Caenorhabditis elegans: one gene and its partner. The protein of the gene in region 1 purifies or fractionates together with the protein of each later gene. This does not show direct contact. Each region holds a gene or a part of one and is shown in the gene's direction. Other genes may lie near its edges.

Region 1 (3,756 bases):
GAAGAGTTTTATGAGCGAAATTGGATTTTTTCGAAAAACGGTCTGTAACTTGGCTGAACATAAAAATATCAAAAAAGTCTAACTGATAAAATGTGGAAAAATATTTTTTTTTTACTATCCAACAAAAATTTAATTCTGAAACTCAATGGATGTTGAGTTAAGACTGGTACAACAGAACAGTTCTCAAAAATTTTGGTAGATTTTAGGAAACTATCTTTGAATCAGTGTAACTCAATAAATCCTTGCTACTTTGTAATGAAAATTGATGCAAAGGGAAGAAAAAATATTTCTAATAGTTTTGTTTGTTGAACATTTGTTTTCTAGAACTATAGTTTTCGAGATACGTCAGTTTGAAGATACGCAATTTTGCGAGTTTTAGAAGATATTGCAAATGAATATAACCATTTTTGTACGTCAACATATTGTCTCACTTCTTTCTCTATAATTTTAACGGATTTCTCATGAACAAAAATGAAGTCGAGTAGTCAATGAGATTTCAACTCTTTCCTTTTTCCAATTTCCCCATCTCACTTCCGATCTCTCCGGAAACCTTTTCATCAGACTCTCCTGTCCATTGATAAATGACAAGTTGATTACACTGTTTTATTTATTGTAAATAAATCAACCTGATTGTTTATTTTCTAATGTTGTCCTATTTATTTTTTAAAGTGTCAGCAATCATTTCCTGCAAATAAGAAGACGTCAGTGTGTCTCAGAGAACGTTTTTTTCTGAATTGAATTTCATCTCGTCAGTGAACTACTGACACCTACACAACAAAATGTTGTCACGGTATATGTAGGTGGGCGGCAATTAGCATTTCGACCGGAGGAGAAACGGTTTCAAATATGCGTTTGGATGAAATAAGTGTCTAGGAATTTTTGGATGAATAATTGAGAACTCATATGTGAAAATCGAGGTGAGTTTTTGATGAAGAAGGCAGAGAATATATACAAATTAAAAAAACACACACATTTTCAAAGATGGATTATTTTGGAAATCCCATACTACAGCAGTAAGCCACATTCAGATTGAGATACGAGGCGCGTGTTCGGAGTGATCCTTCCACTGGAAAACGTGAAATTTCTTACAGGACTGATTGTGACGTCATATCCAAAAAGTTAGATTATCATATTTTCCAGAGCTCAAACGAGTCGAATGTGATATTGTGATAGAAAATGATATGCCGTTACTCCCAGTTGCTCAATTTTGGCAACTAATTTCTTTTTGGAATAGATGGAATCTCGGAAATTTCCGTTTTCTCAAAAGTACGTTCAATTTGAAGTGCGCTTAAATTTAATTCTTCACAGTAGAAAAGCTGTATCATACCGTAATTCAGAGGTGGCAGGCAGGTCCTAACTATAAGTTTTCATTTGCCCATCCAGTTTTATAGAGTGATGTTTTGAATAAGTGAGTAGCTCTAGTACGAATTGATAACTTTGAAAGGCATCATCCATAATTTTTGGGCTCCCTCAGCTTAGAATGTTTACCGAATTGTTTTGAACTATTTGGAAAATCTATAAATCTATTTTGCACCATCTGACAGCTTGAAAACTCATAGACCAATACACTGTATATTTTTAGCTCAATTTCCGGTAGTTTCCCCTCCTACACGCACTTTCACTGAAATGGTCATTTATGGTGTTCTTTCCTCCAGAAAACTTGTAATTTATGAGATATTTGAATAACAAAACCGGCGTAACTATGATGTATATCCCAATTCTTTTCCGCTTTTTCTTCATCTTAAAACAAACATTCAAGAGCGAAAAGGTGTTCCTAGAGCTCCGCCCACTTGAAGAACAATTGTCCATTTTCGGACGGAAAAGGGGAGAGAAAAGATGAAAAAAGTGAAAAAGAGAAAGAAGATGTGGGGGAGGAAGTGGGAGGAGCCTAGGAGCTACTATAAAAATCACCGAAAGCGGGGGAATTAGAGACAAAAGAAATTTTGATGAAAATGCAGAACAACTTGGTTCTACTTATCCTCTCGATTCTTTCAATTTTCGAGGTTTCGGCCTATTCAAATGTCGAAAAAGGAGCTGCAGCTAGAGCTAGGTTTGTTTTATTTTTTAAAGGTTCAGTGTATCCAAAATTTTCGAAAAATTAATCCTTATTAGTCTCAAACCTTACGATTTTCGTAGCAAATTTTTTTATTCTCAAAAAATTTGTTTTTGAAAGTCATATGGCTTCCATGGCTTCTAAATATGCCTTTTTTTGCCTACGTGCCTGCCTATGCCTATTTTTTATTTGGCATTAATTATAAAAATTTTTCTGGAGGCACGTATAAAACATTAAACCTCTAGTATCATGGTGGTTCAATTTCAGAGCCAAACTTCTGAGATTAGATATGAGGAATCATTTTTTCTAACGTATACATTGTATACATACTATACATAACAACAAAAAATCAAAAATTTCAAAATCCACAACCTAAATGTCTCACCGTTCCCCTTGTATTCCTTATCATCTTGTCAAGTTCATCTCATTGAACAAGACAACTAGCTACTAGTATCTATGGTTCTCAACGAAACTGAAACCAATTGATAAGAACCGGTTTTCAAAAAAAAAACTCCTTTTGCAGATGTTGGACAAGCGGGAACGGACGGCCAGCTCAATGGTGGCAGGAAGGAGACCAAGTGACACGTGGAAAATACTTTTATGAGTGTAGACGTGGACAGTTGGAGCCACTTGGATGTCTGTCAAGCACAGAGGAAAAGATTCCACTTGGACATACTTTCCAACAAGATAGATATGAGTTCATTTGCCAACTTGGTTAGTTTCGAGCATGGAAATTATACTGATCTGGGCAACTAGGCTTCTGAGAATACTATAAATTTTCAGTTGGAATTAAATTCAACTTTTTATTAGCTAGTTCAAATTCTTAATACCTACTACTCAGAATACCTAGTACTGTTTCCGTAACTTTTGGAGTCTTCGAGTTCACGACAGTGTTAAGAATAACTAACTTTCAAATTGTTAAAATATTTTAAAAGTAGGTATTCTCAAAATCGTGTCCATTCAAAAAAAAAACCATTTCTAATGTCTCTCATTCAACATCTTTTGTCGATTTGATCTTCTTTTTCCCCATATCATTGAGTACCCACATCTGATTTTGTAGAAAACGTATCAAATCTCCTTTTTTACGATTACTCTTTATCAGGAAGCGACGGTTATATCGAATTCGGCTACAGCGCATGTGTCGGCACAGATGGACGTACCTATCAAAAAGGAGAGACTTGGACCGATGCCAAGGTAAGAATGAGAGGAAAGTGAAAGATATTAAAACATGTGAAGAAAGTTGCAACATGTATCACATCCGGTGGGCGGACACACACAGTAGGGGGTTCTGCAATTTTTCTATTAACTTTTTAGTTGCCACTAAAAAAAAACGTTGATCAAAGTTTCAACGAAAGCTATAACATAGTTTTTGAACTGACCCAATTTTACTTTCGAAACTTCACTAATTTGATTCCAAACGAAAACTTTTTGACCTACAAATTCAAAAAGTGGAAGGCATAGTTTGACAATGCCGAGAAAAATCGCTGAAAATGTGGCACAATAATTAGAGATGAACTTTGAAAGTGTGATTTATTAAATTTAAATTGAGAGCGTGTTCGATGCAAGACTCATGCTTTCGTGCTCACAAAATTAAAATATTGTTAATCTACTTAGGAAGCACAAACCAATAGTTTCCAATAAAAACAAGTAGGCTTAAGGTAGGCACACAAACAGGTACTCTGATCGCCGATGTGCTTGCCCAC
Region 2 (3,335 bases), on another chromosome or scaffold:
ATCAAGGAAGTGTAGATGATAAGTGGAAAAAAAAAGAACCGGACGATGAGAAACAAGAAGCAAAAAAACGAGAAAATGAGAAGAGTGTATGTGTGTCTTTTGAAAATGAGCACTCTTTTGGAGCACAGGCAGAGCAAAGTGGATTCTGCGCTGGGAAAACACCGACTAGGCAAAGGCAGATAATCAAATTGACCCCATAGGCTAATAGTAGCTGCTTTTCGCAATAGAGACTTGACTATAATGATTCGTTTTTTTTTGTTTTCTATTTTATTTTTTGGGTTTTGGTTTTCTATTCTGACGTTCTAAATCAAAACCTTACTTTTCAGTTTTTTTTTGAAAACATACAATTACCAAAACTTGAACCCAACAACTCAGAAAGAGTTGCCATAGCACATATTCAATCAACGGCGAACAAAGTAACAAGTAACAAAATTTTGTTATTTTTTGCGGAGAATTTCAGAGAAAAGCAACTGCAACGAAAAAAGTAGACGTCGAAGTGACATGAAAAGCAAATAAGGAATCGGAAATTTGTGAGTTTAGCTGGGGGATTACAGAGGATATATTAAAAAAATTTTAGGAACAAACTTCGCATGAACGGAATAAACAAGCACGTGGACCGGAGAATTTAGGTTACTCGAGGTCTATTCTCAAATAAGGCTTTTGAGTTGGGTTAAGAAATTAGAAAATTATGTCCAAGAGATTTCCCAACTTTTTGGAAAAAGTGAATAGGTGGCAGAAAGAAAAATTGCGTTAGAGTAGTTTTTCATATATAATCTTGACTTTCAGATGTTTTGTAAAACATGTGAACAACTATAGGAGTTTTCAAGAAACTTTTCTTTCTGAAAAAAATATGATCACTTTTAAAGGCTTCCACATTTGGAGCAGGGATGTGCGGCAAATCTCAAAATTTGCCGCGCTCGGCAAACTCGGCAAATTTGCCGTTTTCAACAGACTCCGGAAAAATGTTATATTTTAGATGTATTTTGGAGCACCAAAGATATCACACATCTGATTTCTGAATAAGTTTCGTGAGCTGTGTCAGCTTAAACATCAAATTAACTCCATTTTGTGGAATTTTACTAAATTTTAGGGGACAAATTCAATAGTTTTGGGCAAAATTGTTTTGTCAAATTTTTGGTGTGCTGCAAATTTCGAAATTTGTCGAGCTCGAGCATCGTTGATTTGAAGCAATTTGCACTGGAAAAATAATCAGATAGAATTTTATCCTGATCACAATACTTGTCAATTTTTTGTAGTAGCCTATTTTAAAATTTCTTTTTTTCAAATGGCATTTATGATCTCCGTATTGGTAATCTCTGTGACCAGGAAGTGATTCAAAGAATCATTCACGGTGATACCAAGAGCGTTTATAAAATTTGCTGAACAGTTTTTTAGATGGTTTGGCCACACAACCATATTAATAATTGTTTTATTGGACTTTTAGGTAGAATTTCAGATTGGAAGATTTCTGGGTGTTTTGTCAGCTAGCATTCGACAATTGAAAGAGATTTACGGATTTTTCTAAACGAATCTATACTAGAACTTCAACCAAACATTATCCAGTTTGACCTTCTTCTTATCTAAACCAGGAAGTGTTGAGTATAGTCATTCGATTTCTTTATCTCTCAACGTGTTTATCCATTTCTCCAGTAGTATAAAACGGTGATCATTTCAATTATTCTGTCAATTTTGCAAAATGAATCTTCTTCTTACCTTTTTGGCTACTATTCTGTGTGTCAGTGAGTTAGTCTCGACACTTCAACCGGAGTGCAAACTTCCATTGGACATGGGAAAAACACCATGTAAAAATGGAAAGAAGGAGATAAGAGTGAGTTTTGATTTTTCAAAGCTTTCATGTCGCTTTTTTTTGGAAACTTTGGAATTTTTGGAAATTGGAAAAAAATATAGAAAAACATTGGTACTTTCTGAAAATAGCTATACGTTTAATTGAAAATTCCGAGAATTTGCTCAAAAACTGACTCAAAAGTCAACGTGCCGAAATAACACTGAGACTGTAAGTCTTTTCAAAATTTCAACTTTTCAAAACTTTCAACAAAAGCAAAATTATTTTCAGAAACTAAACATATTTCTCAATATTTTTATTTCATAAAATTCATAAAGTATAAAGTCTTAATAATTTACAGTACCACTTTGACCAAAAATCCAATATCCCATTGGCTTTTGAGTACAGTGGATGTGGAGGAAACAAGAATAATTTCAAAACTGAGAGTGAATGTCGATTTACATGTACTGGATGTATGTTTTTTCATTTGAATTTTTTACTTTAAACCAAAGTATTTAGATGATCAATCGGGATGTGCCGCTGGAAGTAAGCCAATAAACGATAAAAACTGCCAAACCGATGTAAGTTGCTCCATGTTTTTGAAAAAATCTGTAAAAATTCCAGGAAGAATGTGGGCCAAAAGGTATCTGTAGGTACTCTAATCATATTAATATTTGCTGTGACAAGAAGATTGAAAAGTTGATTGAAGCTGATTATGAGCCAAAATGTCCAAAAGGAAAGAAAGTTGCAAAAATTGTCGAGGGTGGAATCCCTACAACGATTGTTGGGAAGAGTTGCAAATCAAAGTTCTGTCCAGCTGGAGCAACCTGTGTGGAGGGAACATATTTTGCCACTTGCTGCAATTAATTATTTTCGGCCGTGCATGTTTATCTATATAAACTTTTTTATTAATGAATTAATATAACTAATATAACCTTTTCCAAACAATTCGTCTGAAATCTTTAGATTTTCGGACTCCAGCAAATATACAAAGCTATCGATTTGTATATGATATCCCACTGTTTTAAATGAAAAATTTAATGTAGAAGCATATTATAAAAAACCAGCCGTTTGCACGTGCTCCGACTGGCGTACGGTAAATTGTTTTAATAAATTTTAAACTGCTAATGTAAGATTTTTGTACAGTCAACACTTTTCCTGGAGTTTTGCGGAATTTCAAGAAAATTCTAAAACTTTTCCAGAGTTTCTAGAAAATTCTAGAACCATCCTGCTTTTTATGTAAAAAGTCCTAGAAGGGACAAATTTTAAGCGCTTTCAGAATTTAATTACAAAAATTTCCAGGTGCCAGAAGCTTTCAGTTTGATCAAAAAAACTAAATTTCATGCAATATGACCGCATTTTTTTATTGGGAGATTTACTACGTTTGCATTACTTTAAAAATTAAGACTCTGGCCGTTCACCAAAATTAGTGACTCTGGCCGTTCACCAAAATTAGTGACTCTGGCCGTTCACTAAATATAGTTACTCTGGCAAAAATAGTGACTCTGGCCGTTCACCAAATATAGTGACTCTGGCCGTTCACCAAAATTAG

The links. The genes of interacting proteins can lie anywhere in the genome.
Region 2: the proteins of F42A8.1 (region 1) and Y49G5A.1 fractionate together in Caenorhabditis elegans (co-fractionation; one large-scale study listed by BioGRID). This does not show direct contact.

What each region holds. Positions count from the first base shown.
Region 1 is NC_003280.10:9,344,762-9,348,517, reverse strand, and holds the start of F42A8.1 (uncharacterized protein), read left to right. Parts: upstream 1-1,927; 5' UTR 1,928-1,952; coding exon 1,953-2,050; intron 2,051-2,576; coding exon 2,577-2,767; intron 2,768-3,155; coding exon 3,156-3,247; intron 3,248-3,756.
Region 2 is NC_003283.11:5,285,722-5,289,056, reverse strand, and holds Y49G5A.1 (BPTI/Kunitz inhibitor domain-containing protein), read left to right. Parts: upstream 1-1,683; 5' UTR 1,684-1,696; coding exon 1,697-1,828; intron 1,829-2,144; coding exon 2,145-2,256; intron 2,257-2,302; coding exon 2,303-2,364; intron 2,365-2,407; coding exon 2,408-2,650; 3' UTR 2,651-2,714; downstream 2,715-3,335.